Oryzias latipes: one gene and its partner. The protein of the gene in region 1 interacts with the protein of each later gene in a pairwise test. Links are inferred from orthologs where the notes say so. Each region holds a gene or a part of one and is shown in the gene's direction. Other genes may lie near its edges. The genes, in order: aqr and znf830.

Evidence for each region.
Region 2: the proteins of aqr (region 1) and znf830 interact in a two-hybrid assay, tested with the Homo sapiens proteins (2 studies listed by BioGRID and IntAct, with this or other methods). The link is inferred for Oryzias latipes from reciprocal best matches to the Homo sapiens genes AQR and ZNF830.

Annotation. Positions count from the first base shown.
Region 1 is NC_019880.2:7,469,367-7,482,625, forward strand, and holds the start of aqr (intron-binding protein aquarius), read left to right. Parts: upstream 1-4,598; 5' UTR 4,599-4,729; intron 4,730-5,171; coding exon 5,172-5,258; intron 5,259-5,371; coding exon 5,372-5,428; intron 5,429-6,305; coding exon 6,306-6,346; intron 6,347-6,428; coding exon 6,429-6,464; intron 6,465-6,579; coding exon 6,580-6,700; intron 6,701-6,788; coding exon 6,789-6,929; intron 6,930-7,555; coding exon 7,556-7,624; intron 7,625-7,801; coding exon 7,802-7,902; intron 7,903-8,005; coding exon 8,006-8,082; intron 8,083-9,036; coding exon 9,037-9,101; intron 9,102-10,858; coding exon 10,859-10,975; intron 10,976-11,054; coding exon 11,055-11,168; intron 11,169-11,409; coding exon 11,410-11,513; intron 11,514-13,259.
Region 2 is NC_019875.2:26,989,668-27,001,607, reverse strand, and holds znf830 (zinc finger protein 830), read left to right. Parts: upstream 1-5,931; 5' UTR 5,932-5,986; coding exon 5,987-6,961; 3' UTR 6,962-7,128; downstream 7,129-11,940. Other genes in the region: ankyrin repeat domain-containing protein 13C-like, read right to left, coding at 716-814, 978-1,057, 1,133-1,294, 1,471-1,602, 1,681-1,825, 1,973-2,039, 2,238-2,283, 2,393-2,478 and 3 more; efcab14 (EF-hand calcium-binding domain-containing protein 14), read right to left, coding at 8,224-8,402, 8,519-8,644, 8,731-8,824, 11,107-11,259.

The DNA of each region.
Region 1 (13,259 bases):
ATGCTTCATAGAGCCCTTGGTGTGTTATTATTGTGTAATAGGCAATCAGTGCCAAGTACCTGAAAAGATTAGACCTTTTTATGTTTTCTATTGATTCTAAGGCAGCCTGGTTAATAGAAGAAGGACACTAGCACACATGGCTGCAGGGCAAGTTTTTTTTCTATGAGTGAGCAAGTATTAAAGGGGGATAGTCATTGGGAACAGTGTGACGATGTTGCAAGAAAATACCTCCATTAACCATCGCTTCTGCAACATTTCTTTTCTCAGAGATCATGAACCGTATTGATAGTTGGAGTTGGGATGCATCTTCACCCCAGCTTTTCTCTTTGCCGCCCTTTTGAAGTGGACTATTGATCTCCACCCTACACATTGTTGTTTTGATTGTTGTCATCAAAAATTGAACAATGGTGGTAGCCAACGGAGCCTGAAGATGTGTATCGGGGGGTTGAAAAATACAAACAAGCAATTATTTATGAGGGCGCAATCCAATTCCCCATAAACATACAGTGTGTTAATGTTGAGCTGTTAAGTTGTAAAGACTCTTTACAAAGTGAGAGTTTCTGAGCGACACAGCTAAAAAGAACCACTTCAAGATCACATTTTCTTTCTATGTTTTCTACCTTGAGTTTTCCATTTGTGCACTCTTTTCACATTGGTCAGGTCAATTTAGCTACAATTTAATTTGAAAATACTCAAACTGTGGATCATTAGCATAATTCCTGTTAAGACTGTAAACCTTTTTTCTACTATATCCTGATTATTTCTAAAATAAATAAATAAATAAAAATAGTGCTTTTTGAAGATGAATTTTTAACATGTTCTCTATGATTTGTTGATCTGTTTGTCTTTGTGACAATGTCACAAAGACAATGTCTTTGGTTTAATTTTGCACAATAGCTAGATTCCACTGCATGGCCACCACTTATCCATCAAACACTAAACATAATGCTCTGTCTTTCAGCATGCTTGTTTTTAAAACACACTCTGGCAAACCCACAAGTGTACTTTCACAGCCTTGTCTTAAACATCGTGATGGCCTATGGCAGGCACATTTCTTTGTATCCTCGCCACAGCGCTTCATCATAAAATGAGCAAAGACAGGGTGACATTTATTTTTCTCGTGCATTTTGTCAAATGTACATTTTCTGCCATGCTGACCTGCAACCACTGCACAAAGAAGCACTGTGTTTTGGCTAATACTGTTCTTGTCCCTACCAGCCCACGGCCCTTGTCATCGTGGCCTTGCACATGGACTTTAAACAGTGTGTTTCTTCCTCCAGGCAAACCTTGCTGATGTCTGTGACTCGGTTTCCTCATAGCAGTGGGCTTCAGAGTGGGGGAGCCCAGCCTCACCACATGAGGCGTCTCCTCACATCGTGGTCTTCTTGACTCAGTCATTGTGGTTTAGTTTGTTTGTTTCTGTCTTGACATTCTTTTTGTTGTGTAATGCTTTGTTTCCATCACATGAACGATTGTGAAAGCATGCATGTTTATAGTCACAGCATTGACTTTATCAAACTTTCTCCATTTGCTGAAGGGACGGTCACAAATGCTGTTCAGTGGTGTGTGCTCCCCTCTTGTGGTCAATCGAAGTACAGCAGTTTTTCCTTGGCTTGAATGTCTTAACATGTTCTCTAAGATTTTTCAAAACAAACCTGAATTTTACTTTTTTTTTTTAAATATCTCAAAACCAGTTTTTAGACCTTTCATCTCAAATCACTTGGCAAAGCGTTATTGCCACTCATCTTAAAAACTACTTATTTAGTTTATAAGATGATATATTGTTATCCTATTTCAAAGTAGAAACTTTTTTGTGCTTGAAATTAATTGTTAATTTAAAAATAACAATTATCTGACACTTATTGTATTTAAGAAACAGTTTATTCATGTGCCAAAGAGCATAGCTTTTTTTAAATACCACCAATCAGACAAAAAAGAAAAAACAAACTCCTACATTTTGTCTCAGACAGGCAAAAAATGTATATTTTCACCAAAACATGTCAATAATAGTCCAATTTTTGCAGATAATAAAATCATGTTTAACCAAAGTGAACCCAAGGGCAATTTTCTTTTGGGCTTTGAAAGTTAATTTGACTTTTTTTTTTTTTTTTTTTTAGCAAGAACAACCAAAAAAATTAAAAAATATATAAGTAAAAACAGCGGCCAAGATTTGGTTGGCGGTTCTGCAAAGCTAGTTCTAAGATATGAATGATTCTTAGTTTAATCTTAGACTATTTTTTTTGGCCTTTGAGACGAGAGTATGCAGGGGAGGAGGGATAGGCAGTTTATAATTAAAATGTACTTTTAACGTAAAGCACATACATAACTATAACATTATCTATAACTTCATGTATAGTAATTTTCCAAACTTACGTAATATGCTCTAGAATAGATTGGAAAACTTAAATACATTTCCTAAAATACTAAATCATTTGCAAACATTAACTGTTTAATGTTTTTAGTAGCATTGGTCTAACCTTTGATCTTAGATCCTTCTGTCAAGTTTGACTGCCAACTGAAGCAGAAGTGTGAGACCCACTAGAAACATTTCTGTCAGAGTTTGACTTAACCTAGTCTGGGTTTGAACATAAACCTGCTTATTTTTCTGGAATATACATTATCAACATGACCCTTCTTCAAACTGCCACATCTTTACCACAAGCAAATAAAGTTCTTTCTCACATGTAAAATAAATAAATAACTATCCATTGTATCTGTAAGAACAACATTCTTTTTTGCCAATTTAAACACTTTAGTCACTGCTGTAATTTTCTGATCAAAGGTTTTTAAAAATTTGTTCACACCGTGTAAGTCAATAAGAAATGCAACAGGGAAAAAAACTGTATACAGTTTTAAACCTTTCCACCAAATAAAGGAAAGAGATGGGAACTGAAAAGCGTTTCAACAGAACATTTTGAGAGCTGCAGACTTGTCTTGAACAGCATCTTGCAAGTGATGCTAGAATTTTGAGAATTATAAATTTAATGATTATACCAAGAAAAAAAAGCTTCATTTATATAAGTTAATTTGTCCATATCAGTGTAAAAGCAAAAAATGAAAATGTCCATTTGCAAATGTTTTTTTTTTTTAAATTATGTTGGGTATGATGGGATTCTGAAAGTCTAAGTTCTAAATTACAAGAGTGAGCAACACCAAAAAAAGTGGGGGGACAACACAACCAGTCAACTGATAGAACACTTCAGTGTATCAAGGTCTTGACTGGAAAGTTGTCAGTGTCTGAAATGAAAGTGTATTACAACTGAGCAACTGGAATTATAAAACAAATCCTGGAATCGGTTTGTATACCATAAAGCATCTGCGTCTATATTAATTTAATTTATAAAGGAAGCTAATGTTGGTAGCCTAAATGCTCTTTTTTAATCTCAATGGGATTCCAATCTGGAGGTGTTTTACTCCATGTTTTAAAGGTTACCGTCTTGTTCTTTAGCTATGGCATATTTTAGACTGTTTGGGGTATTCACTTCTTGTAGGTTGAGCCTCTTACCAACAAAGTGCATACCAGACGTTGTTGCAAAGACCAAATTCACCAACCCTGAATTCAGCAAAATAGCCATATGCCATTACACTTACACTTCCATGTTTGACAGTTGACATCTTACACTGTGAAACAGTCAAATATGCCTCTAATGTATGCAAAGCTTATCATTTTCATTCTTTTGTTTTGAATAAAGCTGTTTTGGGGTATTTTAATTGTCCTTTATTCATTATTTTAGATTAAATATTGCTGTTGGAGACATGTTTTGACTAAAACCAACAGGTATTCCATTATCAATATATTATCTATCATCATAACTGCTAATACAAAGAGAAAGAAAAGAGAAGAATTTTGAAGCACTTTTAACTGGATTAAACACTCAACAATCATCTCAAAATGTTAAACACCTTTGAGGCAGCTAAAAACTGTGGATCAAAAGAATCAATTTATTTAAAGGGCCCTTTTGAATATATAAAATGTTTTCTTTTTGTTTTGAATAAAAAAAAATACACAACTGCTCAACAGATTTGAAAACATTTTTTTTATAAAGCCATTCCAATTCTCCCACCTCGTCTCCTATGTACACCTAATTAAATTCTGTTGTATGAGTGACCATGACAATAAAAGTATCTATCTATCCTGAAAGTCTCAATAAATCAGCATGGATGCCCCCAACCACCCAAACCAGCTTCCCTAATGCAAACAGCTCCAAAGACATACAGATAAGTCTAAAGAACATACAGACAAAAACGTTAAAAAATATTTAAATAAAAATAAATTAAATATAAAATTGGCTACTAATGAAAAAAATCATTTAAATAAAATAAACAACCAAAAGTTAAACAAATAACCTGAAAGAAAAAATGTTGTGGAAATAATGGGTAAAACTGTTCAAAGCTGCTAAGAGGCATATGAGCCTGTTTAGAGAGGTGCTGTAGCTCAATTTGTTACAAAACATAAAATATATGCCTAAAACTGGTGTTTCGACCTAACTCTGCAGTATTGGAAAAATAATCCGATAATTAAGACGAATCTTGGCCCCCAAAACATTTGAGCCATTAAAAGTTGAGAAATGTATATGCGGAACCCTGTGCTTGTCGCTGTTCCAGGGGACAATGACAGAGACGTACCCATTCAGGAAGTTAGTGGTAATCGGCGCGTTGTTGTGTACACGCTTGTTGTACAAGGCGTCGTTTTTTCACCACGTTTATGTCAAAGTAATTAACTGTTGAGGTTAGTTCATTTGTCTTATTTCTCAGGTGACAACATATGTACAAGTTTTATATCTGAAATAAGTTTGTTTACGCCGCTAAGTAGTAGCCTAGCATATTGTGGGGAAAGCTAACGTTTCTATCTGTTGGCGTTTGGCAAAACAAAAGTACGAAGCCAATCGCAAAGGAAGTTGCCATAATGTTTCCGAGTCTTGCCCTCCATACACCTTTTTTTCCACAAAAGATTTCTAACGGCCTTTTTTTTTTCTTTAGAAGTGCATATTTCTTCAAAGCTCAGTTAGTGTTCTCTTTAAGTTTTACGTTTGTCCATTTCGTTTGCTATCTTATATTAGTAGCCACAATCTTAACCTTAATCGGATTGGCGTTTACTTATACCTTTTATTATCTTGCTGCTTTTGATGTGTCATCGATCTCTGTTGTTTACTGTGGATGTCGTCTCGTAGATGGCGACTACTACGGAGAAAGAACCCGCTGCTAAGAAGGCTGCAGCGCCTTCAGTGTCTCAGATAAATGCAGAATATGTCACCCAGGTAAGCAACAGAAGCACATTTCATATGTACTGCAAAGATACGTTTGAATAATTATACCACTCTCACATGTTTGATTTTTAAGGCTGATTAAATTTTCTCATTTATATTTCCAGTTGGCTAATAAGTATTGGGCCCCTCAAGCTAAAAATAAGCTACCGTTTGACCCCAAGGTAAATCAGAGTTTCAGTATTTGCATGTTTCCCTTTCGGCTTTTCCCATCAGGGGTCACCACAGCGAACGAGTCGCATGGTAAACTTGGCAATGTTTTACGCCGGATGCCCTTCCTGACGCAACCCTCTCAAAGCAACCGGGCTTGGGACCGGCACAGAAGCAGAGAGGGGAAAGAGTTTCAGTATTTGCATACAATAGCTTAATCAGAATTATTTTTTCATCTTTTAATTTGGACTTTTTTCAGTGGACATTAACTGATTTTTATTTTTACTCTGAATAGTCTCAGTAGCTGATCCGTCCTTCAGCTATTTGTCTTTTCTTCTCAATGAAGTATTCCAAGTGCATTGTAAAGACTTTGGACAATGTAGCAACAATAGCAGAAATTAAACACTTGAAGGTCAGACAAAATATAAGAAGAAACTCACATTGCCAAAGCAGTGTTAACTGTCTAGCATAAACCTGAGGAATCTTGATTTGTTCTGCACTGGCTTGGCACTAGATGTGTAATATTTTGTCAATTTCACTGTGCAAACTTTGTAGATTGCATTGGTCCATTTCATTTAATGTTACTTTGGGATATAAGAGGTTTTGGGATAGGTCAGTGCTTTGCTTTAATAGTTGTTCCTGGAGCTGTTCAATAATTCCACAATGGGAAAATATTTGATCTGGTTTGAACAGGTTTTTATTGATAAATTTTACCGAACAAACACTGATCAAAAGGACTTTTGATGCAGTTAACTTTGTGGGTTGAATTGAGACAGTAGTTGTGTCTGCACAAAATACAAGAGAAATATTTTTGTTTTTTTTTTCTTGTTTGTGACTTATAAATTTACTCTGACATATCGGTTATGGATTTTTTTCTGTTTTTGTTTTTAGGTGATGGAGGATGTCTACGAAAAGGAAATTGTGCAGTCCAAGTAAGTCTATACTTTTTCCTCTTATCTGTCTTTGAAATGCTGAACAATCTTTTTCCTTAACATATTTTTTAATTGTTCACAGATTTTCTATCAGAAAAATTATGCTGCTTGAATTCAGGTGAGGAATTTCCATTTGATTTCTTCTAAAATTGCAGCAGGGAAAAAAGGATATTACAATTTTGAACTGTCAACAGTTTTGTTTGGTTTCATATTTTGTCCCTTTTCTATTTCAGCCAATACCTTGAGAACTACCTTTGGGTGAATTACACACCAGATGTGTCCAGCAAAGCTTTTATGATGTCCATTTGTTGCATTGTCAATGAGAAGTTTAGAGAAAATGTTCCAGCATGGGAGGTAAGCAAGGTTATTTTTGCTTTTAATAAAAGGCTGAGTCATGTATTCTAATTTCCTTTGTTATTTTTTTGTTAATAATGTTTGTAAGGTGTTTAAGAAGAAGCCCAGCCACTTCCCCTTCTTCTTCAAATGCGTGATGGAAGCTGTGTTGACAGGCGATGATGCTGGACTCTGTCTGAAGGAACAAACTGTTCTCCTGGTTTTCCTGGATCACTGCTTCAACAGCCTGGTTTGTACTGCATTAACCAAACGTTTTAGGAAAAAAAAGGTGTCGGGGATGAGAGTATTGGATGCTTCCAGTCATTCAAGTATTAAACTTTATTTTAAAAAATGCTTTTCATGCTTTGAGCAGCTCAAAGGGCTTTACAATTAACAACAAAAAGGCACAAACGTTGAATTTACATTTAAATGTATAAACGTACATAAATAATTACATAAAATAATTAAAACATTTTAAAATAAATAACAAGCTAAGATAATAAACAGGCTGCATGCATTTATTTAAAAAAAGCCATATCCTTTGACATTTCAAAAATATCCTTTTAAAATAATACTTTATGTGCAATTTTCTGTAATTGTTTGGAATGCCCTCTAGGTGGCAGTGGTAGCCCGTGCAGTGCTTCTCTTGGCAGGTCGTTTGTATCCTTAACAGCTGCATCAGACCTCAAAGAAACACACGTCTCAATTTAAAATCTGCTGCGATAGCCTGCTGCCCTTTGATTGTATGCCATAAAAGCTTGTAAATAATTTAGTTCAGACTTTTATTAGGGGCTGAGGTGCATTAAAATTTGTCACATGCTGTGCTTTTGGAAAAATCCCATGACTGCATTTCATCTTTCTTCTTGTTCTATGCAGGAGGTTGATTTGATCAGAGAACAGGTACAGCAGCTCGTCTCCCTGCCAATGTGGATGTGCCTCTTACCAGTAAGCTCACATTTTCTAGTTACCGCCCTATGTTCTGGTTGTCATTCCACATCCCAATCTTGTGTTCTTTCAAATAATATTGTCTTGTGTGTATTTATTGTTTAACACTGACTTCTTCCCTGTTTACTAATTCTCCAAAAAATTGGATTCTTACATTTTTTTGCATCATATTTGCAGTCTAGGCTGCAGCAGGAGCTGAAAAAAGTCCCAAAGCTGCAAAAGTTCTGGAATCTAATCAAGAAGAAATTTGACCAGATGGATGCTGATGCGGCTAAGCAGTAAGCCTGTTTTTTGGGTGTTTTGAATCAAATCTACGCCAATTTAAGTTTGCTCTTTATTGTTTGTATTTTGATAATTCTGATTTTTTTGTATCTTCTCCAGGGCAATCAAAGAAAGGACCTTTCTCTCAGCTCTCATTAAAAAGTTTCTCGGCGTTCTCATGTCAGTTCCACCAACAGGTAAATAAATGTGTTTGGTTTGGGGGGGAAAAAGCATAAATGCACAAATGGAAGATGGAAAATTAAATAAAAAAGTCCTTGGAAAATATTAGTTCAGCACTTCAATTCAGATTTAGGTGTTTATGTGATTTTTTCAGCTTTATTCCTGTATTTACCATTACCTTGATATCCAAACTAAATGTAGTATTGCATTCCAAAAACTCACACAACTGGGTGTATGCACTTTTTTTCTGCACTGGGGTACTGGTGAGGGAAACATTTTGGCAGTTTAATCCCCCAATCCAACCAACTAATGCTGAGTTAATGCTTAAGGTGGGATTGAGTCCCATTGTTACCATCTTTGATATGGCATGACCGGGAACTCAAACCCTCGATCTTCTAGCCTTCGGGCAGACACTTTACCTCCAGGCCACTCAGCTAATGTCTACTTTTTCTTATAATTTTGTCGCCTTGCTTTGAGTCGTGCAGCAGCTTAAGAAACATGCACTCCAGCTTCTATACAGTTAAATGCGCTGGCCGTGATGCCGTGATACAGGCCGACACACGAGTCCCCCCCATCAGAATGCTAAAAACTGAGTGTTTAGATAAAATTCAACCTGACACTCTTGATTACAAGCAAAAACCCAGCAGGGTCAGCATCACTCTATTGGCTTGCTGTATGTCTCCACGTTAAGTGCGCACACACAGAGACACACAGAGAGGAACAGGAATGCTTAATGAGGGCTGAGCTCCCAGCATGCTGCTGAGCTGGCCGTGCAGCCTCTCATTGTGAGAGCTCATCCACTTAGCAAGGCAGGTTGGTGTTTTCTTCATGTTTGCTGGCTTCAGATTTTTTGGAAATGTTACCATCTAGCTTCCTGACATTTTGGGACAGTCTATTACTCATGTTTCGCACTTTAAATGAACAACATTGTGTATCTGAAGTAAAATCTTTTTCATGTCTGTTTACCACAGGGCCTCTGTCAATGGACAAAGTCCATTATTGTGAAAGATTCATTGAGCTCATAATTGATTTGGAGGTAAGACAGATTTTTAATTTGAACTTTACATCCCACTCTTGGTTTTCACTCAACTAAAGTTTATATGTAAAAACTGAGATCATGTCCACTGACATTATGTCTAGAATCAGTCATGAACAAAGTAATACGTCATTACTATGGTGTTAGTACAGGTGTTTTAGAATTTAATCATCGTTTACCTTTTAATTTCACTCTAATCAAATTTTTGTCACAGGGTGTTTGATAAATGTCAAATTCCAGCTCCTACTGAGGGCAATGTCTGGGGAAATGGGCTTTGGTTTATTGCCTAGTTCTATTTAGAAATAAAAGTTAATTAATTCAAGTTTTAGTTTGAATTCATATTAGCAAGAATATAAGATAATCATTTATTTTGAAAGATTTTTTTAGCTCCTAGCCATTCCCCTAAAAAGATCTACAGTCAGAAAGGCGCAAAATGTTCTGATGGTGAGTTCTTTTCTGTCAAATCAAACTTTTGTTTCTGACCAACGACTGTCAATGAAAGAAAACATGAAACATAACCCATTGGGTATGAAGTCAGTCTTTGGTTTTGTCACCATTTTGGGAGGATATATCTCAGTAAAACACAACCTTTCCTCTAATCGGTGACTAAATGGGAGAACCAAGCCAAAAGGCTATTGGAGCACACCAAGAACGACTGTTGTAAAGAGATATTATCCATGTTTGATTGTGTTTTGAATGTGAAAATGATACCAAATGATTAGCCTATGACAAATTTGCCCCTATTAAAGTTTACATCTATGTTAAACCTATCCATAGAGATAAAAAAACAATAATGGTGCAAGACTGTTAGTCATTAAGAGTGAATGAGAACTGACCTACTGGTTCAAAACCTCCTATAGGGATTAGTTACTCCACCAGGATGAAGTTAGTTTATGTTTTATATCTGCCTCAAACAGGAAGTTATGGGGATACGTCATTTTTAGGTTAGTGATTGTTGTGTGTATCTTTTTAATTTGTTGGAAATGAATAATTGTAGATATCAGTGTTTTACATTTAGCAAAATCGTGCCGACAGTCTTAAAATAAAGATATAAAGTTGTGTTAAAAAAAGACGGGAATGGAGAACAGTCAAGCCTTCAAATGAGGTTGTTGTGAAGACATGTTGTGCCACAAGACGATCATTTCTGCTGCCTTAGCAGATCAAATCTGTCTAACACAGACGCTCAATAGATTTCATCTGGCTCTTTGCTGACAGGTTAGCCTTGCAGTTCCTGCCAGCAGCTTGTGGTCAGCTAGCCTACTGTCTCCAGAGACTTTTCATGTCCTTCAGCACTATCCTTTCACAAAGCCTCAATCGCAAGAAATCCATACTTCCCATTCTGACGAGAATCTAAATATGATTGCAGGGAAAAGGATCCTATTCCGTCCGAAGGGTTACACTCAAAGGTGGCTTATAGATATTGAATTATTTGATTTATAGTTAGGGATGCAGGCGCTGCAGCTGCTGTCTTTAAAAGGCAGTTTTGAATCATGAAGCTGAAATGTATATCTTTCGGTTGGGAATCTGGCTGATTCTTTTTAAATTTACTATGATGTGCTGTGTTTTCCTCTCATAAATGGGGTTGACTTGCTGAAAAACTTGGTAATTGTTAAGTCAGTTGCTTTGTTTTACCCTTCCTGTTTAAAATGTTGGTGAAAATGCAATTAATTAGTTTTTTAAATGGCTTTCTTTCTTACAAAAGCATTCGTTCATGTCTGCTCAAAAGTACAAATGCTATGGCCTCCCTGTGTTTCCAGGCGCTGCTGCCCACCAGACGATGGTTCAACACAATGCTGGACGACTCTCATCTTGTGGTCAGCTGCCAACTCTCTGGCCTCCTTAAAAGAGAAACGGAGGGCCACCTCTTTTGTCAGGTAAAACAAGCTTTTAGTGACTTTGAAAACCTGTTTTCTCCGTGAAGAAATCCTAATTGGTGTTATTTGTTCTTTTCAGCTTCTCGACATGCTAAAGTTTTACTCTGGTTTTGAGATCAATGATCAGACAGGAAATGCTCTTACGCAGAAAGAAATGACCACGTTGCACTATGACAAGATCACTTCTCTGCAGGTAAACAGCGACTTAATCAGAGATCAGCAGAGTTTCTATCAGCCCTCTGTTAGCTGTGGGCTTTTTTTTTGGACATCCAGTTTTTTTGTCAGGTTTTAAATGTATTGAAAAATCCCTGGAAATGACAGAACCCAATCTGACTGAGAGGATTGTGAAAGAAATCACGTAGTGCTTGAAATTGACACAAGTTAATATATGTTTATATATATATGCACCAATAATTCTTTTTTTCATCTTGCAGAGAGCAGCCTTTTCTCATTTTCCAGAGCTGAATGACTTTGCGATGTCCAACGTAGCAGCAGTGGACACTCGGGAAACCTTGACCAAACACTTTGGCCATCTTAGGTAGGTAAACAAAACTGTTGGGACAAACAAATATCAAACAAATGTCAGTTTGTTCACTCTGGAGTGTTTTTTTTTTTTGTGAGCTACTTCGATAATGACTGCAAGAAGTGATCTAAATGCTTTAACATGACAAGCCTTATTTCATTTGACCAAACACATGTAAAACATGTCATTCAGTCACGCAAACTATTTGTGCAAAGTGAGCTAACACCTGTGCTCAGACGGTGTTTATGTTCTTCTGGGGTGGATGAAAAAAGTGGTGAAAAAGAGAGGGAGAGTGCCTAGTCATCTCCACACCAAGACCCCCGCCAAGGCAGCAGCGGTAGCCAGGACCCCCCAACACCCCACGGGATAGCAGATAGAGGAAAACTGCTGCCCCCCCCCCCCCCCCCCCCCCAGGACAGGGGGCCAACCAGCCTGCCTATCTGCCTCCCCCATTTCCCCCCATCAAATCATACCATCATACTAAGGGGTCAGAAACCACCAATACTTTGTTAAACAAGCTTTCTTGTTAGCCTGCCTTCGTTTTGTTTAAAGCAGAAGAAAAAGGTGTTCCATTGATATGAGAACGCTCCGTGTTCTGTTTTAATGAACTTTTGCTTGAAATGATCTCTCAACATCAATAATAACAGATGTTTAAATCAAGGCAGTGTCACTTTGGGGCACACTAAACAGGACACTGGTTGTGTTTCGAACAAAAAAAAACCCCCAAAGTTTTAAATCATGACTCTTGACTTTTCTTGTTTCCATTTTTTAAATGCTGTAGTGAATGATAAATACTTAAGCCCTACAGTTGGTGTCCTCCAGTCTGAATATTATGAGCTAAGCTGAGCTGACTCAGGTGAAAGACTTAGCTCAAGCATTTGTATATTTTTAGACTCTAGTCTCCCTTTTCCCTCCGTTTGGGTCTTGAATATAGCAGGCACTGCATTGTTCCCAGCTTCTCCTTCGCTGTCACCAGAGCGCCTCCCGGGTATCGCCGAATACACCCATCATATTTAACGAGGCAGTTTTCATTCAAACATCTCTCACTAATGCCAGTTTATTCCAGCTGTGCCACCCATGGGCTAAGCTCCCAGTCAACTGGTGTTCCGAGTTTATCCGCTAAGTACAACACAACACACAGACGCAGCTCTTCCTGCACACACACACACACACACACACACACAATGAAGACACAAACACGGGGAGTTTATTTCAGGACAAGGGAGCATAACTATTTCAGAATCATGAACATTCAGCTTTTATTACTGTGAATTACACTTTAGTTGTAGTTTGTGCAAACAATAAGATTTCAGATTTAGTTTAAAATTGGTGTCTTTTCTAAGCATGCACAACAAGATAACAATCAAGCTGTCAACCATATGTAGGGCAAAGTATAAAAAAAAGATTTAAACTTTCAAAATTAGATTTTAAGTTACTAAAATAATGGGTTCATGGGAAGTAATATACAAAACTTTTAAATACCTGATCAAATATTGATCTGTTTATTCTTGTAGAAAAATTGACAGTGAAAAATGAATTGCAATTATCCCTGCACATAAGAAATACATGAGAATTTAAATAACCTTAAGTGGCATTTTTCGTTTAGCACAATAAAAAGAGATTTACATAACTTGTTTTACTTTTTACATGACTGAAAGTTCAACAACATAACTTGGAAGCATTAGGTCAACAGGCCAGTTACTGTTCTATTCCTGCCATCGGTTGAGTTTTTGTCAAATGTCATTTTTCTGACACAGTTGT
Region 2 (11,940 bases), on another chromosome or scaffold:
CAACTGTAGGGAAAAGTTTAATTTAAAAACATCCTGTGCTTTTAAAGTTCATTTACTGTTAAACGGATATATTTTTTAAATCATTAATAGGCTCATTTCATCTTCATATTTTGTATTTTTGTAGTTGTCCTGCAGCTTTACGGAGACATTTGTAATGTTTCTCAAAGTTACAGTGACCATCGCAATATCTCGGTTCATCTTCCGTCGTCTCTGTGATTTATTTGAGGCAAATTTGTGAGCTTTTTAATTCAAATCCTTTACGGTGGATTTTTTCTGCATCCTGATTGGCTGCAGACGTGGCCACTCAATCTCTGCATGGCGTCTCCCTGGAGAGAATGTGTTCAGTTTGCCAAATAGACGTAAATATTAGATCGCGAGTTTTTTCTTAAAACTAAGTGTAAAAACTGTAAATAAAGAGGAATAGTCAGATTTCACCTATTTATTGCAGGTTCCTATTAAAACGTCATTCCTGCAGTAAACGAGGTTCCACTAACTGTGAGAGATAAAATGTAAAAAAGAATCCAGGTCAGCAAAACGTGTAATAATCTGTCTCAGAGACACTTAAAGAAATAAGTCCGTATTTTTAACATACCAGGCATAATCTATAATAACTCCCATATATTATTAAGTGATTTTTTTTTTATTAAAAGTGTATGTGTGCAGGATCAAACACACACTACCTTTGCAGTGATTTAAGGCGGAAGGAAGTGCTTACGATTCAATGCCTAAAGGAAAATCCTGACTCATGGCTACGGTGGCTTTGAAGTTCTTCTTGCTCTCCTTACACACAAGTTCCCGACCCAGATGAGGAGGCCTTCAGATGGGAGAACACATGCACACACGCGCACACACACACACACGACATAAAGAGGGAGATTACACCCAAAGCACTTACAGAAATTACCTTGTAGATCTCATGAAAAAACAGGTCAATTATGTGGAGCTAATGCAATCACAGAAAAACACAAGCGCCTCACTTTCCGTGCTCTGCCGTTATGTACTCTTCCCAAGAAATGGTGTTGGGGGTTGGAGCTGTGAGGGACTTCCTCCTCACAGGCTGACGATAGAAGCAAAACAAGATTCAGCGCCATGAGCAACAACATGGTCTGTCGCAGGGAAACAGAAGAAGCACCTCAAAGTTCTGTTCACTGATGCCGCCTCCTTTACTCAAACTCTCCATGATGGCTTTGTTCCTCAATATGTCCTCCTCGCTTAAATGTTCTCGTCGCTTTCTGGACTCCAGCACCAGGCCGTTCACTGAATAGAAGTCAGCCAGGAAGTTTCCCACCCTCTCCTGCGAAAACAGACGGTAAAAGCTGGCGTCTAAAATAACACTTGAGGATGAAACTCTAAAATGGTGGTTAAATGAGGAGGGTTTGTTCTCAGAAAAAGAGGATTTCTTTTTATCTTTGCATTTGTGCGTTTTAAAGATGCTAAATCTGCTCAGGGGGGTGTCAGCACCAGCTTTACCGTTTTGTCCTCTCTGAACAGCCAGCCAATCTGACTGCGAGAGAAAGTGATGGACTTGGTTGACAGGGTTGCAGAGTAGACGTCACTGCTCATCAAAATGTCCACCTCCTCCTCAGTTTCCATCTCCGACTCCTTGTGGGAAACAAAAATGTTGGAATCACTCGTGAAAGCCACAGAATGTGCTCTGGTGGGGTTGTGCCATCCACTGACCTCATGGTGTACTCTTTGGTAAACGTTTGCTTTGTTGTCCAAAACCACAAAGGACTGAGAAGGTACAGCATCGCCGTTGAAAATGAAGCTCAGATCTCCACGCTGGCACTTCATGTCATTAAAATCTACGAGGGTGGTGTCAAGTCTAAATCAGGAAAGAGGAGAACCAACTCAGAATGTAAAGTTTGTTACGTCCTACTTTTTAGATCTAAAAGAAGTTCTTGGCCTGGATATCAACTCTTTTCTGAAGTGTCCCACAGGTACGCTGGTCTTTATCTGGTTGGCGTCTAACCTGATATTAATGCCCTGCTTGTAGATTTTACAGGCATCTGATGGCAGCATCCGGGACAGCAGAGGGACTACAACAGACAAGAATTGGATACATTAGTTTGTGGAAGAAAAATAGGACAAAAAACATTGCTAATTACAAGAGAACTTACAATCTTTATTGCTAGTTTTGTTCATCTTGTTAACTGATCAAACTGAGTCTTAAAAATGTATATGCAGTATAGTATGAGAACTTAATACTAATGAAATAAAATAAAATATAAACTCACCCCAACTCTGAAAGTCCCAATGAAGCTCCAGATAAAAGTCACCAAGCTGGAAAAAAAGTGATAAAAATGCTAAATGTATTTTGTTTAATGTCAGCAGTCAGATTTCTGTGATGCAGGTTAATACATGAAGCTCCAGCCAGAACAGAAACACTCACCTCTCTGAGAGCTTTCAGTAATTTTGGCCGCTTATCTTCCACACTCTCCCTGGACTGCTGCTTTAACTTCCTCAGCACTGCAGTAACTGGAAATGGCAACAAAAATGACTTAGCGCAGAATCAAACTTTCAGCCCCATCATGAGTGTTTAAAATAAACGGGAACGACTGATTGACAAAGATCCTACTGAAAGAACAATACAAACAAAATCAAGGTCATGGAAATTCATACAGAAATTCTCTTGTTAAATTTAGGTTTTAGTGTAGAATTTTTACCAAATTAAAACTTCACTGTTCACAATTTTTCTGTGGTCTAAACACAAACAAATTATTTACCACTATGTCATCATAGGTAATCACCTAAGAAAAGATGAAATCATTTGTAACCCTTGTGCTATCCTAGGCACTTTAATGTTGGGAGTTGGGTCATCTAGACCCACTACAGTGCGCTGAACCTTTTTTCTTCAATGATTTGTGATCTTCACTGGTGTCCATGGATTACATGAAATCTTCCACCTTTATCCACCTTTGTCATGGTAGGGAGAACACGTCAATGGAAGGGTGGGGTCATCTAAGATAGCACAAGGGTTAATCAAATCAAATGTAATATATTGGCACAAAGTCCGGCAATGACTGAATCAGCAGATGGGAATAACTGGTTCAAAAGTCCCATCTCTCTATATATAAATAAGAAAGAGCTAACCAGTGACCCTTCAATGATAGACCAGATGAACCAAGTCAGCACTTCTGAGTATATCCCAGTAATCTCAGAAATGCTGCAATGAGGATGGATGTGGCTAAGAGGGGCAGTGCTGACAAGGCTCCAGGATGTAATAGTTTCACACACATACAAACAGCAACTGAGCTGCTGACACAAGGCGCCCAGGCGATGACAGATGACAAGATTGCAGAGTTTTGAGAACTGCTAGGAGAAGAAAACAAAGGTGTGCTTTCTAGAGCAAACCTTGCTTTAACTGAACGGTACCTGCTGTTGATGCTATTTAGGTTAAAGTCCAAACACCCTGCTGTGTCAGTGGAGTTTGACTTTCAGTGTCCTTGCTGAACATTTGAATGTAGTCAGCTCCTTTTCCACCTGCTTCTCTAAGCTGTGACCTCCTCAAAGCTCCCGAGTCCCTCTCCCTGACCAGTCTGTCATGACATGCAAAGATAACCGAAGCGCAGGGTACCAGAGGTCACGCTCATTGATTTACTACACTAGAGACCCTGAGAAATGAAAAAAGAGGGAGCTTTTTCTTTAAAAACTGACTTTTTTTATTAAGTTGGTTCAAAAATGGGGCTGCACTGAATTTAAAGAAGTCCTATTCTGATGTGGAGCAGTAAAGATCTTATAAGCTAAGCTCTTTTTAATATCATAAGCTGTGGCAGATGCTGATATCCAGATCATCTGGATGGCGAGTTCGTGGAAAATCCCGACCTTCAGCTTTCGAGTTGAACCCACACGGCAGCTGCTAGTTGATCAGTCATAGAAATGTCCTCTGAACACTAATAGTTTTACCTTTGACTCAAGCAGTAGGTTCAACATTTACAGGCTGTTTCCTTCTAAAAGAGTTTGTCAGCAAAATAGAACATTTTAGAACATATGATTTAACTTTCAACAACTAAAATGCTAAAAAATGTAGAAAAATGTAACATTTTCCAAACAAAACATAACAGAAAAAACAAATCGGGCTGAATCTGTTAAATAATTATACAGATAGAATAGAAGGAGGACTTGGTTTGTTCTGATTGCTTACTCATCTGCCTGTCACCATAGCTGATAGCTTCCGCCAGAGGACTCCATCCCTGTGCGTTCTTTACTTTCACAGGTGCATTATGGGCCAGGAGAAGGAGAGCACACTCTGAAAGATTACAAATAAAGGAAACCAGTGAGTAAAGTTGAACTGACACAGTAGGGGGAGGTGTTTTTAAAGAACCATATTTTTACTTGGGACATTTACAAGGTTTTTTAGGCAATACAAAGCCATTTTTAGGGTGCTATAAATGCATTTTTACTATGGAAGAAGTTATTTTCCTATTGTCAGAATATGCGTTTGATTCAAAAAATCAAATTGATGCATACCATTATATAATCGTTTCAAATTAAATGTAGTCAATTAAAATCCATGTTGGATGGAGGCACTGTAGGTTTGTTTTACTAGAACGTAAAAATGACCAAGTGCATCACAGCACATGTGATGGCAGCAAAAAATGATCAAGCCATCATTCCAGTCCAATGTGTGGAAACACTTTGAACTTTGCAAAGACATGTGACCACAACATTATGCCACATTTTTGGTTATAGATGTTCTCGGTCGATTTGGTGTCAATGAATCGGATCAAACTGGATCCTTCAAACTGAAACAATATCAATAAATTGTAACCCCAGCCACAAATTATGAAATCAATCAAATCATTGTTAAAATGAGTTGTTACACCACTATAAATAATTAACTAGATTTTTTTTTATAACATAATCCTCTGGAATTAGATTGACAGATTACCAGGGTAAAGGGAAAAGGCTCCAAATAATTTCTGCTATTGTTATTCAAGCTTACCTTTATGTCCCATCATCACAGCCAGGTGAAGAGGTGTGTTTCCTGAAAAGACAGACAATTTTCCCTTTTTTAATAGACACAAAAGATTGCATTTAAAAACAAAACTAAGGATAAACATGAATAGGAATTAAGTATATTAAAACCTACCATGCACATCCTTCTGAATGATGCTGTGTGTCCTAATGAGGGAGGAGAGTCGACGCACGTCTCCTTTGAACACGCACTCGTGCACAGGAAACTGCAATTCCTCGTTGGTCAGGATAATAGGATTCTTGTTTTTATCAACGCATGCGTTGTCGTTGATGTTGTTTGCATTGAGATGCTGATGCTGCTTCAGCAACGAGCTTTCGATGGATTTCTGGAGAGCCTTATTTATCTTGAAATTGTTGCTGGTACCTTTAGGGTTGGTTTCGTTAGAGGTTTCGTCATAAATGTCCCTTATCTCTTCATTTTTGTTAAGCTTGCTGTTGTGGTCTTTCCGCACTGACCGTAGTTTTTCACCTGTCATGATGATGATGAAGAACGGGGGATTGCTAGCCTTGAACTCGACGGTGTATCGGTGACGTTAATTTGTCCGCAAAGCAGCATTAGCGAATTAAATAAAAAGTGAAATCAAATAAACCGCCAATACTTTCAAGTTAACTATATATTTTTGTCATTTAAAATTATTTCTAAACGTTAGACGGTGGCTTTCCGGTTAGCTTGCTAAGTCACAATAAAAAAAATACTGTATGATTATGATGGGTGCGGCTATGATACTGAAATTGATGCTGAACATAAAAGAACACTGTAAATAAACAAAAACAACGCAGAAAGCTACATCGTTTTTCCTTGTATCATCTTTTGTACTTACTTTTGAAAAATTACGGCGGCTGCGAATTATGAGCGTTTGCAGGAATAAACGGACGGCTACAGCTCATGCTAGGTTCTCTCGTATCGCGAGATTTCACGGTAGTTCAAACGAACGACGGTGCTACGTCATTTTAATGAGACGGGCTGTTGCTGATTAGCTAGTAGCTCGCTGGCTAACAACAAACTCTTATGATGGCGACTTCAAAAAAGGGGAAAAAGGTGGTAAATCAAGAAGAACTCCGGCGGTTGATGAGGGAGAAACAAAGACAAACCGCTGACAAGAAGCGCGTGGAGTCTCCGTTCGCCAAATACAACAGTCTGGGACATCTGAGCTGCACGCTCTGTAGTGTGCAGGTGAAGTCCGATCTACTGTGGCCGGCTCATGTCCTCGGTAAACAACACAAGGATAACGTTGCAGAGCTAAAAGGAGCAAAAACGACACCAGCGCCGAGTCAAACACCGAAGAGAAAAGCCCCTGACACCGAAGCAGTTACCGCAAAAAAGGCGAAGCCCGCGTCGGTTGCAAGTCAGTCTACATCCGATGCTTCTGAGAAACCTCTCACCACCCAACAGTCTGCGGGTCTGAGTCTGCTAGCCGGTGTTTATGACGACGAGGATGCCAACGCTGAGTCTGAGGCACCTGCTCAGGGAGCGGACGGAGGCCTTCCAGCCGACTTCTTTGACAGTTCCATCCCATCCACACCCGCCATCTCTCACTCCGGATCCGTCCTGAAAGCCGAAACGAAGGAAAAGCCCCCCGAGAAGAAAGAAAACACATCGGAGGTGCTGCCCGAGGGCTTCTTCGACGACCCAGTAAGGGATGCCAAAGTGCGCAATGTGGATGCTCCCAAGGATCATATGGACAAAGAGTGGGAAGAATTCCAGAAAGAAATTCGCCAAGTGAACACAAAATCCGAGGCCATCGTTGCGGAGGACGATGAAGAGGGGCGTCTGGAGCGCCAGATAGACGAGATCGACGAGCAAATCGAGTGTTACAAAAGGGTGGAACTGCTGCGGGACAAGAGAGATGCTGTGAAAAGCAAAGCTCTGCCCAAAAAAGACAAACCAAAAGAAATACAGGAAGACGTAGACGATGAGGATGATGAAGAGGAATTGTTGGGACTTTTGACCCAGGACTGGAGGGCCAAAGGGGCTCTTGCTTGAGTTTCATAAATGCATCACTTCTTGTGTCCAACTCAACTCAAAACAATTATTTTGTACAAAAAATGCTGTCAACTCAAGAGATTTATAACTAACTTTCCTTTTTGTCCGGTCTAGAATGGGTTTTGAAAACTGCAAATCACAAGTAAAATGGATTATTCAAAGGAGAACAGCGTTTTCTCTGTCTTTTGTCAAAACTATTGCGACCAAAAACAAACCTTAAACATTCTTTTATTGGTGCTCAAACACAAAACATTCATAAAATCTCCCATGTACAGTAGCAGCATGAACTCGTCAGTTATCACGGAAAAAACATTACACACTTTAAAATTTCCAAATGTTTCATGTCACACAAGAAGCAACATGCAAAGTAAAATACAAATGATTAAACTTTCAATTTAACTCATTTTACAAGGGAATATACATTTTTACAAAGCTCAAAAGGAACCAGGATAGTTTTGTATTCAAACGCCTAACAGGTGATGGTCAGTGCTTCTTATACTACCTGTTACTGCAAGTTAGGTGTGCTTTCTGCCTAAACTACATTTTTATTGCTTAATCTGCCTCACACGGATGCACCTCAAAGATTCAAAGCGAGTATAGCCCTTCAAATATGAAACAGGAAAAAGTACAAAGAGAAGGACGCAGACTAAATACTTGATCCCAGTTGTAACTTAGGAAAATATGCATGTCACATCTTAAGAAAGAGCATAAAAGTTCATATTTAAGATCAACAAGGAAAAGGTATAAAAACACCAGAGGTCTGACAAAAACTGTGTTTCTAGTAGTCATTTGTAAACATTCAAAATACAGATCTAAAGATTCAGGTTAGCAGGACCGCATAGTTGTGTGAATAGGTGAGGAGCATCTCCATAAACTGGCAGTTATGTTCTATCCTACTATAGAAAAACACTAAATCATTACATCCAGATGACAAAAACAGGAGTACATGGATAAAAGTCGGACACTGAAGGTGGAAAAATGGACTCCAGGCATCTCTAAAAATAAGCAGAATTCGATTAAACAAGAAGCAGACATGACTTCCTAACACTACAGTTAAATATTTGGTAATGTTTTGTGGTGGATGAAAAGATAAAATGGAACTTAGGATAGAAGGATTGAGCAGATCAGCACTGCCCCCCCCCCATTCAGCATGACAAAAATCCAATTCACAAAATAAAATGCAGCAACTTCAGAAAAAAAAACTTGCAGCCCTCCAGACCTGTCTGGGTTTCAATACTGTTCACTGCTGATAGAATGTGTGCTTAAAAACCCACGGCCACTCTCAGCTCTGTCAGGGAATACATCTTGTCCCCGTTGCTGTCGAAGCACTCCATGGTGCGTTCGCTGGGAGCCGACGTCTGCAACACTTCCTTCAGGTCGTTGTAGGTAAGACCGGGAGAATGAGGCTCTGCAGCGGCTCGCTCAAACAGGTCTTCTAAATCTATGAACAAAACAACAAAACTTTATGTGAAATGCAACACTTATTGGATTACCACCTTAGGGCTGAGGTGGTCTAGGAAGTACTTTATTTAAACCTGTAAGATGGGGTAGTTTTACCTTTCAGAGAACTGACACCTCGCAGGGACACCCTCCTTGAACATTTTACCCCCGCATTCCTCTTGTGCCGGGGTACAGTTAAAAAGCGAGGCCGTCTGCTCGTCGTCAGCAGTGGTGAAGCGGACTCTATTGAATGAAAAAAGAAAAAACATTACAGTGAATCAGTGAAAATACAGTTTACGGTTAGTAGAAACTGATCAGTATTACTGTACCAGGAGATGCTGTGGTTGTAGGAGCATCCTTTAGCATCCTGTTGTCTGAAGGTTGGCTAAATTCTGGTGAAGTTTCTGTTCCATTATTCTGCACCTAAGAAAAAAAAAACAGTAAAATTTTAGGTATTTGGAATAAACAAAATAAAAATAGACAAGCATTACACACAATAGCTTAACTCTAACTGTTGGACTTTAGCATAAAGGTGTTTTACACCCAGAATGATATTGAGTTTGTGGGAGAACCTGATGGCAGTTTGTGCCAATTGAGCAGCAAAAGCTTTAAAAACAACCCGTATTTTGGTTTTAATAAACAGAAAACCCTGTAAATGAATTAATATGATATAGAACAATCAATTTATCAAGGTGAAAACAAAATATCGGTACGAAATAGGGCTGCACGATATGAGGAAAACTTGCAATTTACTATATTAATGATCAATATTACAATGACGATGTAACTTGGGATACATAAACAAATCGCAAAACTACCAAAAACATCATTTCCATTTTACTGCAACAGTTTAATTTAAATAAGAGTCAACATAAATTAAATTATAATCCACATGACCCTCGTCTACATAGGAGGCAAACATCTAACATAAAATGGCTCCATCTGATTGGTCAAATGCATAAAGGCATTTATTTGATTAGTTAAATACTTCAAGCAACCATAAGATTGTTTTAGAACATTTAAGATAACCATTTATCGCAATTTTCACTGACTTTTACAAAATGCTTATTGCACAGCTTGATATTGCGATAACGATAAGTTTACGATTTATGGTGCAGGCCTAGTACAAAAGTAAAACGAGGCCATCTTTAGGTACAGATGTCCTGATCCGATCATGTGATCAAAAATCTGGCCTGAATTTGATCACATATTTTCAGACTCAATTGGAATCAGATGTTGTATCTCGATCAGGTCGGCGCATAACGGCAGCCCACAAACAAGCTACAATCCAAACTCTACAAAAGTTTAGTGGCTCATTTAAAAAAACAAAACAAATGAAACTCTTGGTAACCCATTGGAACCTGTCTAATATATCAAAACAAGCACTACAAAAAATTCCTAGGAAGTTCCTAGTTCAAAGCTAAAACTTAACAAATAGCTCAACAAATCTTCATGCCAAAACATGATAAAAACGTTTTTATGGAGTGCAGTAACAACATGCACATTTTTCTTTGTTTATTAGTCTTCTGTCAAAGAAACCATGTTCGGGGTAACAAGAGTATCAAACGTTGACATACTGAATGCGATCCATAAGCTAAGCAGCACATTTGCATCCCTTGAGAAGGAAATCTGTAAAAGCTCTGTGGATATTGTAATCCTCGTGGAAACTATGGTAGACTTAGATCATCAGGCTAAAAATGTTGTCAATATGTTATAATGTGCTTCATCTTTCACAGATTTATTTCAGTTCAATGTACATGCTTTTTTTTTTTTAACTGCATCCTGTTCGGTCCTAATTGGCTGTAGACAAGTGTCAGTCAATCTCACTCATGCTGTACAGAATGCGTTCAGTTTCCAAATTTACATAAATCTGCACATCTTTAGTTTATTCTATAATACTAGACTTCGTTTGAACTTTGAGAGTTTACGCAAGCAAGAGAGAAGAGTCCCAAAATATCAGACACAAGTGTATAAAGTGTGTAGTGAGGAGTTTTACAGCCTTAAATTTTGATTATGATCATTGTTAAAAAAAATCAAGTTGACTACTTCACGAATTTGACCCGTCGCAGGTTATTTTTAGAATGCAACTCCTGCGATAAAAGAGGGATCACTGTACATTCTGATCTAAGCACAGGAGACACAGCCAGGAGATTCTTCGCTCCCACAGATCTGCCTCCCCAGAAAGTGAAGGGATCTCTTTGAGGAGAGTCTCCTACATTTGCTAAAGCTTATCTTTGGTCGTCCTGCTTTAGGGCTTGGATTTAACCTCAGGTCTGTTTAGTTTGGTAACTGGGGACTGTTTAAAAATAATATTAACAGAGAATTGATTAGATTGTTAAAGATGTGATATCTGATGTTTTTACTTGTTTCCTTTCTCTTTAAAGATCCTTAAAAAACTGGTCGCAATAAATTAACTCAATAAAAACTTTGCATTGTGGATTTTGGTCCCATCCTTTCAGGCACAGAGATTTAACCAAAAAGGGCTTCCAGCTTCTTGAAGCTACATTTTGCTAAAATGTGTCCAAACTAATGGATAAAGACCACCTTTTTGACTTTTAATGTTGAAGCCCTGAAACATTTAACGTGATCCCGTGACTGGGTCAAGTCTTTGCCTATTTAAGTGCTTTTAGTCAGTCGCCTCCATCTCTATCATCACTTAAAATGTACGTATTCCTCTGAAACCAATCATTTTACAACGGACTCACGCTGCGTTCGGACCCGTTCTCCAGAAAGGCCACTCTCTGATGAAGTTCTGCCACAGTAGACAGGAGGAGGTGGATCTGCTCATCGGTCCAAGTGTGGCGCTTCTCCTCTGTCTTATTAACTTCAGTCATGACTTTTCTAAGATCCGTTATGTCCTATGCAAACACAGAAAAACATCGACTTGCAGTACAGCTTTAGGCACAGGTGCAAACAAACTACATTCATTTTAATACTTGGGTTGTGAACAGAAAATAGTGTTTAGAGCTATCAAGTATTCCAAAATGTCAGAAGACACATTTAAAATTCCTAAATTGACTACAAAAAATGTTACATAAAGTGTAAATTACATGGCAACCTCCTTTCACTTTCTTTTTTACTTCAGCAATTTGATTTAAAAAACAAAAACAAAGGACTTGCAAATATAGGTTAACACACTATCCTTGCCTCTGTAATAACCACAAACACTGCCTTTTGGTATGATCCATGCCACAGATCAACTAGCCGTCAGAATTCTCATGTATGTAATTACATTAACTTCAGGTTTTAATGAAACAAATGCATAAACGCCCCGCTACAGAAAAAGCAACAATCATCTTGATTGCTTTAAAGAAGTAAATGCACTCCTCTATGTTTTCTGTAGACAGTCATCCATGTATGCAGGCATCAATAATAAATAAGCAAAGCAGCATCTGGCGCTTTTTTTCCATGAGCCTCATTTTTATGCATAAAGAACGCCGCATGTGATTTTTCAGATTTGCTCGGTAACATTAACAGCTTAACAGGTTTGTTTTAAACATTTTGAACCATATTGTCAATTGACAACAGAAATGGAATAG